Linked DNA regions of Macaca fascicularis. The protein of the gene in region 1 purifies or fractionates together with the protein of each later gene. This does not show direct contact. Links are inferred from orthologs where the notes say so. Each region holds a gene or a part of one and is shown on either strand. Other genes may lie near its edges.

The links.
Region 2: the proteins of ARPC5L (region 1) and ACTR3 purify together in Homo sapiens (affinity purification with mass spectrometry; 6 studies listed by BioGRID and IntAct, counting the BioPlex papers as one, with this or other methods). This does not show direct contact. The link is inferred for Macaca fascicularis from reciprocal best matches to the Homo sapiens genes ARPC5L and ACTR3.

Annotation. Positions count from the first base shown.
Region 1 is NC_088389.1:19,195,008-19,199,686, reverse strand, and holds the start of ARPC5L (actin-related protein 2/3 complex subunit 5-like protein), read left to right. Parts: upstream 1-1,725; 5' UTR 1,726-1,822; coding exon 1,823-1,972; coding exon of another isoform or gene 1,973-2,073; intron 2,074-2,325; coding exon of another isoform or gene 2,326-2,383; exon of another isoform or gene 2,384-4,459; intron 4,460-4,679. UniProt on the Homo sapiens protein: May function as component of the Arp2/3 complex which is involved in regulation of actin polymerization and together with an activating nucleation-promoting factor (NPF) mediates the formation of branched actin networks.
Region 2 is NC_088386.1:17,949,104-17,953,648, forward strand, and holds the start of ACTR3 (actin-related protein 3), read right to left. Parts: upstream 2,840-4,545; 5' UTR 2,533-2,839; coding exon 2,489-2,532; intron 1,920-2,488; exon of another isoform or gene 1,796-1,919; intron 1-1,795. UniProt on the Homo sapiens protein: ATP-binding component of the Arp2/3 complex, a multiprotein complex that mediates actin polymerization upon stimulation by nucleation-promoting factor (NPF).

The sequences.
Region 1 (4,679 bases):
GCCAGGACACCTCCTTTGATCACTTTATCTAAGGCACACTCAGGCACCGCATGATTTTTTTCCCCCCTCAACACTGTCAGCCCTGACATAGTATAATACGAATTTTTAAATGCTGTCTCCCTGGGTGGAATGAAAGTCCATGACCATGAGCAGGGACATTATTCCATTTACCAGTTTCTTTGGGGGCTGCTTCTTTACTGGTAAAATGGGCACTTCTGGGTTCAAGTTCCTTCTGACTCGGATGTTTTGGGGATATGAATTTCTGCTGTCTCGTGGCAGGCCTGAATCACAAAGACTTTTTCCCAGATATGGAACTGTATTGCAGGTGGGCTTTTCGTGTTTCCAGGACCCCTGAGACTGTTTTTTTTTTTTTGAGACCGAGTTTTGCTCTTGTCGCTCAGGCTGGAGTGCAATGGCGCGATCTCGGCTCCCTGCAACCTCCACCTCCCAGTTTCAAGCGATTCTCCTGCCTCAGCCTCTCGAGTAGCTGGGATTACAGGCCTGCGCCACCACACCCGGCTAATTTTGTATTTTTAGTAGAGACGGGGTTTCAGCATTTTGCTCAGGTTGATCTTAAACTTCTGACCTCAGGTGATCTGCTCGCCTCGGCTCCCGCAGTGCTGGGATTACAGGCGGAGACTTTTCTTTAGCGCCAGTTTCCCACTATGGGAGTCTGTATCCTGGTTACCACGGAAGATTAGGTTGCATCATAGTCTGGCAATAGTTTTTTGATCTTTAGACACAGTTCAATGAGAAGTATTCGAAGCAGTAAAAATGAATCACATTCCAACTTTTATTAACAAGGGTACTATTAGATGAAAACAGTTTTCATAGTATTATATAAAAGACCCATTTTACTTACCCTAAGGCTAAGATCAATTAACAGAACCCCTGGGGTAACAGCCCAGGCACCAAATCTGACACCTCAGAGTCGTCCTTGACTTCCCTAACCCGCTTTCCCGCATCTCAGATTCTGAGAATTTGGTTTCTATCAAGATGTGCCTCTCAAGCCAGGCCTCTCCTGCCAGGACGGTGGCCACAGGGCCATCTCCCTCTCCTGGGGCCCCAACTGCCTGGTCAAGGTGACTGCTACACACGTGGGGCCGCAAAATCCCTCGAGTCACAATGTCTTCAACGCCTTGTCAGCCCTCTGATCGCACTAAACGTCTTTAAAGCCTCCCACTCCTTTAACAGGGTCACCTCTGTGTAAAGGCGACCTCCTCGTGCTAAGTGTGGCGGCGTTCAAGATTCCGAGACACAGACCCCTCCCGCGTCACTCCCCGGGCACAGGAACTCCTACTCATCCCTCAGTCATCAGCTCGAAGGTTTCTTCTCCAAGAAGCCTGCCCAGCACCCGAGAAGTAGAGCCGCGAGCCTTCTCCCGGGCGCCCAGTCTTCCCCCGTACAGGCAAGGATCACCCCGGAAGCCCGCGCCGGGCCCCGCTGAGGCCAGCGGTTCCTCGGAGGCGCGGGAAAGCCGGATCACCAGCGCGATTACGGCACACACTATGCGGGGCCTGCAAGGATACCGGGCGGCCACTCCTCAGTGGTAAGACAGAGGCTCCGCGGAAAAGAGACTGAGGCCGCGGAAACCCCATACCGCACTCCACGGGACAGGTTCCGCCCCGCCCCGATGACGCTTCCGGATCCGGCGTGTGCCGGAAGTGGGCGGGCGGCGGCGGCTGCGCGCGGAGGCGGTGGAGGAGGTGCTGGGAGCAGCCCGGTGGCCGCTTCCCGCCCCCGAGCCGGAGCCGGTGCGAGTGGAGCAGAGCTGAGGTCGGGCCGCGAGTGGAGCCGGCTGAGCGGGCGCCGAGCTCCCGCCATGGCCCGGAACACGCTGTCCTCGCGCTTCCGCCGGGTGGACATCGACGAATTTGATGAGAACAAATTTGTGGACGAGCAGGAGGAGGCGGCGGCGGCGGCGGCGGAGCCAGGCCCGGACCCGAGCGAGGTGGACGGGCTCCTGCGGCAATATCCTTTCCTGACGCGGCGTCCGGGCCTGCGCGCGGCCTTCCCACCTTCTCGGGCCCCTTCGGGCGGGCCTCTGCTGTCTCCGACCCCCGGCCCCCTCAGGTCAGCCTTCAACTCCCTGCCGACCTGACTCCCCTGGGCCGTGCTCCCCTGAGTCCTGGTCTCCCTGGGTCCTTCCTCCCCAGCCCTGGCCCCTTCTTGTGCAGCGCAGCCCCGCAGGCCCTTGGACCCGGTGGACGGGCTCCCTCGGTAGCCCCGCAGGTCCCGCGCCCCGGGCTCTCTTCCCCTCTTGCCTCCTCGTCCCCTCACGCTGTCCCTTTCTGGGGGCCCCAGCACTCCGTCCCTCCCTTGCAGGAAATCGGGCCTATGGCGGGGCTGGGTCGGCGGCAGGGCGGAGGTGAGCCGTATCTGAGTAACCGAGTGATCGGTGAGGCTGGGGCGCGGTCTTCCGGGGCCAGATTGCCGCAGGGCGTGAAGATAGGTGGGTGGACGGCTGTGGGGAAGACAGGACCCAGGAGGGAGTGGAGGCGGCCGCCCTATTTCAGCCCTGGGGTCTAAGGTTGTGCCTCCCCTCCCCCAGTCAGTCTGACCCTCCCGCTTAATGCTGAGAAAGGGAAACCCTGTGGTTCCTCTGGTCACCTTGGTGGTCTCAGCTACGCTCAGCAAGTGAGTCTTGGCTCCCCCCAGTACCCTTCTGGTGCAGGAAGCAGCGGAAAGAACTAGTAGTTCAGAGCTAAGAAAAACCAGACACCTTGAAGTGAAGTGTGAAAGTAGAGCCCCACGCCTGGAAATGACTGTTCTTGTGGCCACAGAAAACAGCATTTAGAAAAGATTAAAAATAGAGGTGATTGTCACAGCCTTGCTTGGTCCTTTAGCAGTATGAGCGCAGGAAACTGACTTATTCTCACCGGAAGGATTTTTCTTTATTCAAATGGTGTTCCAGGAAGCCTGTCCCCTCCCCCCGCACGGGCGGGGGCAGGGTTGGAGGCCCATGCTGTACATAAATCAGGTTCTCGGTGTTGAACCAGTTGACTCAGCTTGGAAAGTGGGGCCTGCTGCTTTAGGGGGAGCCCGGCAGTGCTCCTCAGTGTGCCTTTAAAACGAAAACCTTCAGACTTGGTTTGAACAGGAATGTGTTTTCGGAAGTGGAGATTCAAGCTTGTCATTCCTGCCCCATCAGGATCCCCCAGTCCACCCTAGTTATGAAATGGGGTCAAGGGAAGGGTCCCCAGGAGGGAAGGTTGGTTGTAGTCAGGTGCAGGGCCTGGCTTATGGAGAGTCAGTGCTGAAGGGGGCTCCAAGGTCAGGCCTTTGGCCCAGGACCCTCATTGAACAGATGAGGAGGTCAGGCCTGTCAGCTGCTGCCTTGGTCTGGGTGCAGAGCCTTGTTGAAGGTCATGTCTTGGGACTCCCCTGCCTGGTGACAGGTTCCTTGAGGCTGCTTAGAGGCCTGGGTTTAGCACATCCCGGGGATGGTCGTTTCTCCATTCATGGCAGCGGCAGAAACCTTGTTACCATGGAGAGTGTTCCACCTGGGGTTGGGGAAAGGGAGGTTAGCGGATAAAGAGAACTGAAACCCTGGCAAATACCGGACCCAGGTAGGGAGGAGAATGGAACTGATATTTATTGGGTCTCTATCATGTGCCAAGAATTGGACTTAGACCATTGAGGACAGGGGAGCAGGGAGAGGGATAGAGGGATTGGGGTTGGGGAGGGCAGAGAGGGACCCTGTCCTGGGGCTATATAGGGAAGTGTGTGTGGCGGGAGATCACGCAGATGGGGTAGAAGGAACTCGGCTGTGCATCTTCGCACACCGCGCGCCATCATGCTCTGGCTCTGACCTCGGATAGGTCACATACCCTCTCACAACTCAGCATTCTCCTCTGTGACGTGGCAGACAGCCGTGCTGGCTTCCTAGGTTCTGTGGGAGCCTCATGGGCTAACATCAGCATCAGGGGGCACACAGCAAGTGTCTGCTCAGGTCTGCAGCTAGAGCGGCAGCACGGGATTGTGGGAGGAGCTTGGGTGCCAGGGCCATCTAGACAGCTTAGTTTTGTGACCCTGTGCAGGTAATTTCCGTTCTCTGAGCCTCAATTCCATTGCCTTTCAAATGAGATAATGATTGTTGTTACTGGGATTTTTGGAATGAGATGGCATGTGAAAGCACCAGGCACAGGATCCGAGACCTTGTGGCGATTTAAAAGTATGAGTTCCTTTCCCCTCAGTGAAGCAGCTTCTAGACTTCTGGATCAGGGCTCTGGCCAGAGCAGTGGTTTTGAGCGATTTTGCACCCCTCCCCTCCACCTCAGGAAATTAGAAACATTTTGATAGTTACAGCTTGGGGATGCCACTGGAATCCAGTGGGCAGAGGCCTATGACCCACAGCTGAGATCCCACGTCAGAGAATCGTGGGTCCACAGTGTCAGTTGTGCCGTGATTGAGGAAGATCTAGAGATCAAGGGCTGGGCAGGGTTCCCCCAGCACCACAGCCTATTCTCTGAAAAGGTCTAAAGCCAGCCAAGTATGACAGCCGGCTTCATGAATGACAGGTGATTTCAGGGAGGCCCTCCCTGCACCCCACATCACCCAGCTGCTGAAGGCCCTCACCCATCAATGGACTGAGTGATTGTTGGACACATGGTGCTGAGGTAACGCCACAGCAGGGGCTTTTTGCCCCCGTGGACTAGTTTTATCCCTGCCCTTCCCCA
Region 2 (4,545 bases), on another chromosome or scaffold:
CTGATTCAGGTTACAACTTTTTACTTAAACTAAGTGGGTAATTGTAATTTAGAGACCTAAGAACTGAATGCATTCTCTAAAGCATAAAGAAATAGACAAATTATAGGTGCACAATTTGCATTCGGGGCCCACAGAATTTTGAAATGTAAAAGCTCCCTGTTAAGGCCATACTTAGAGATGCTTATCTCAGGGTCCTCGACCTCAAGGACTTATCCTCCATGTGCTAATAAAGCTGAAAGTGTAACTTCCCAGGAGGCACCACTGGCAACCTGCAAGACCAAAAAGCCTTTTGAGGACCAAAATAACTGAAACTCTAAAGGGGGAATTTCAGATTGTGACAAATGGTAAAGAGAGGGAGGTGGCAAGGGGACTCCTAATCAGTTCCATTCAAACCATCAAAGTGCAGTTAACAACCTCTCCTTATCAGAGAAACCAGTGTAATAACTTAAAAATATACTATTGTAATAATTGTAATTTTAAAACAGAAATACTCTAGGTTAAATTGAACCCCTCTCCCCGATCCTACTGGTCATTCAGCATGTTTTAAATTCAAGGTTGCCCTTTAGGAAAGGAGGTCACTTAAGGACAGATGACCTCAATGAGACATCTTGTATACTAATTCGAAACTATTTCAAAGAGGGAAAAATGGAGATTAGAAAAGTAACATACTACTTGAGATGTTACCATATTATTTCTTAGGGCCACAGTTATTTACACTATTTTTTTGACAACTCAGTAATTTCTAAAGCATTAATTATGTAGCAATATTCGTCACTTTAACAAAACACATTTAAAAAGTTCTATCCTACTGACTCAGGCCAAATCTAATTTTAAAACTGAACTTAGACATAAAACTACTCATCAATTAGACTAAGAAGGGGGAAATAAAAAAAACTATTGGTTCCGAGAAATGAGAACCAATTAAGAAAAAACTTTATAATAAAGTGTTCATGAAAAACTTTATAATAAAGTGTTCATCAATAAAATACATGGAAGTTCCAAGGCTAATCTAGGCTAGTGCTTTCCTAGGGAGAATATTAAGAAGTTGGTTGTTTCTCTCTACCTAATTGGGATTTTAGAAACTGCCACACTAGCTAGTTATGAGAATGAAGATTAAAGAAATTTCACATAAAGAGTGAAGGACACACAATCTTTTAAGTAACAATAATGAAATTAATAATTATAATTAATAAAAAAACAAGCCTCTCACTGCCTTCCCCCTCAAAAAAAAAAAAAAATTGGGAGTGTTTTGGGAATTGGAGAGATGTAATTAGAACAGAAAAAAAGAACCCTTTCCTATAAGTCATCGTGAAGCAGTGATTCTACATTAAAATAAGAGTAGTCTATTCTCTATGTAGTTATGAGTGTGGTACAACTCTCTAAAATGTCTATTAATACAAAATGAAAGATCACTTTTAAGCCATTCTACATTTTAGCAAACTACCCTACAGATCTAGGAGTAACTACTTGCAACTTAAACACATTCCTATATACCTCTATACCTTTCTGCTTCCTTCAAGATACCTTTACAGAATGAACGAATACAACTTAAATTAGTTTATTTCCCAGGGTGCTTCCTTTCTCCCCTCTCCATGAAACATAAGCACATTTTTTAAGTCATATAAATGGATACCAAGCACCTGTAATTCAGTCTCTTTAAAATCTGCTTAATTTTAAAAGTTCTAATAAGATGTGTTCAGGTTGGAAACTAAAAACTACCTTATAAGGGTATAAAAGACTGAAAGCAGGAAGCGGCTTTGACAAAACTAAGGAAGTTACAGCGCGCTTGCTCACTGGGGGACTTTTTTGAGGCTACAGAAGTAACACATGACATCTTTCTCCCTCGAATTAAAATGTGACTCGGTTCACCGGTTGAAACGCAGAGGGAGATGGCAATGACCGGGAGTCGAAAGGAGAAGGTGGGTGGTCAAATGAAAACCCCACTGTAGGTTCCCATTTTCAGAGTCCGATTCTTCCCTTTCCCCACCCACACCCTGGGCAGAATGTTGTCACAGCGATCTTGCAAAACCTACCAGGAGCGCTTCTCTTTTCTAGCTCCTCTACCAGGCCAGTCCCCGAGCTCGGCCCCTGGGTCCCCACACCGACTGGCAAAAAGGGACACGGAGGGAAAGCAAAGCCGGATGGGTCGGGCCCGGGGACCACCCCTAAGACGACCGTCCCTAGCACTCTCTGGGCGGCACTGCCCACCGCAGTGGGGGAAGGGCCGGGAGGGGTCGCGCGGAGGAAGCTGCAGGGAGGGTTGGGGGTTGAATCTGGGGCCCGCGCCCCCGCCCCAGTCCTAGGAGGGAGAAACGAGGGGACCGGCGAGGCCCTGGCTCCGGGCCCCACCCCTCGCTGGCCGGCGAGTCTAGGACTGACAGCCGGCGGCAGCACCTCGCCGCACCATTCATTTCCCGGCCTCCTCCCTCCCCCGCCATTTTCCTTCCTCCGCCTCAGTTTCCCCACCCCCGCCCGTAAGCCCCCTTACCCCGTGCCACAGTCCACCACACAGGCCGGCAGCCGTCCCGCCATCTTCCTCCTCGCCTGCTGCTGCTGCTGCCGCCGTCTGCTCCGTGCTGCTAGGGGCCAGAGATTGGCGGCGGGAGACAGGCGCTATCTGACCATCCACAGCCGGGCCGCCTTCACCGTCCGGGGGGTAGCCGGGAAGCCGAAGCAGTAGCAAGAAAGCAGCAGGCTCGGTCAGCGGCTATCACTTCCGCAACCCAAGCAGGCAGGCAGTCCCCGCCCTGCCCCGCCGCGGCCTCCTCCCCCTCTCTCTTCCCTCCTCCCCACTCCTGCCCCCACCCTACAACTTCTTCCCCTCACGCCGCCTTTCCCCGGGAAGCCAAGATGGCCGCCGGTGCCGACGCCCCGGCCAGGCCGGGCCCAGGCCCCGAGCACTCCCCCTTCCGCTCCGAGCGGGAGGGGCTAGCGAGCATGCGCAATAAGGTGCGTTCGCCTGCCGGGGCTCCGATCCTGAAGTTAGTGAAATCCACAGCGGGTTTTCCAGGAGGGTAGAGACGGAGAAGTCTAGCCGAGCTTCTAGTTCTGCTTCTGAAGCTGGAAGGGGCTTTTCGGTGGTAGCCCTTGGGTTAGTTTCAGTTACTTCTCCGCTAGGTTGAGGAAAGAGTGGAAGCGCCTCCTGCAGCCACGAATATCCTCCAGTGCCTGGGAGAAAACGGCCTAATCGAAAACGTCCGCGGCATGCATCCATTCTTAAAACTTGAGTGGCTGCTTTTCTGGGTGGAAAAGAGAGATATCACACAGGGTGAGCAGTCGGGGAACGGATGAACAAAGGCTTGCACCGTGGCCCTGATGCCTTTGTTCCGAGTTTTATTCAGTTGTACTTGTGCGTTGTTACAGGACTTCAGAATGTAGCCCTGCCCCCCAACCCCCACCTCCCAAGGCCTGAGCTCCTGAGGAAGGCAAACCGCCCAGGAATATATTCTGCAAAACTACAAACAGCCTTTATTCAAGGCTTTTGGACTATGACAAAGATTACCCTCAGGAGTAGTAAGATTCTACTAGCGGGATAATAGAAGGGATTTAGCCCCCCCCAACAAAATTTTTTTTAAGTTAAAGACGGAGGCGGGCCGCAGTGGGTCAGGCCTGTAATTTCAATGCTTTGGAAGGCCGAGGTGGGAGGAGAGGATAGCTTGAGGCTAGGAGTTCGAGATCAGTCTGGGCACATAGGGAGACCCCCCCCCCACCACCATCCCTCCAAAAAAAGAAAAGAAAACTGGAAAGCCTTAAAGAAACCTTTCAAACTTTAGTGTGTGTCAGAATCACCCGAAAGGTTTGTTAAAACAGATTGCTGGGCCACACCCCCAGAATTCTCTGACTGGGCTGTCTGAAATAATGCCTGAAAATCTGCGTATCTAATCAGTTCCTAGTTCCACTTTAGGACCCTAGAAGGTTAATAGCTTTCCTCTCTACCAGGCTGATCTTAACAATAAACCATTCTGAGTTTGCTAATGTGAAGCTAAAATAAAAATATTCTTTAAAAGGAAGGATGTCTTATTCAGTCCGTGAGATCATCTAATGTGGTATTAAGCTGGCCTGGGGGATGGAATCGGGTGTTTCATTTATTCACTTGGCAGGTAAGTATTGCTTACCTACTCTGTTATGGCAGGGACTGTGCTGACTCTTGAGTATTCGGTGGGACAAAATAGTTGAGGTCTCTTGTAGAGTTTGCAGATTAGCGGAAAACAGACAAATTGTGTTAAGAGCAGTAGAAAGGAGAGCTGAGGACTCTGAGAAATGAGGGCAAGGAGTGGGAGAATGGGAGGAAGGTGGAAGGCAGGGAAGGAGTCTGACCAGCTGGTATTTAAAAGCTGAGCTGGGAGGAAGAGCCTCCCAGGAGAGTGAACAGCAAGTATCAAGGACCTGAGGCAGGAGCAAGCTTGGCATCTTCTACAAGTTGAAAGAAGATCCATATGGTCAAAACGAAAGAGTCAGAGAAGATGCAATGGGAGAGGAAGCCTGAGAGATAAGGAAGAGTCAAACAGTGCAAGAATTTGTAGACTGCTCTAAGCATTTTAAAGT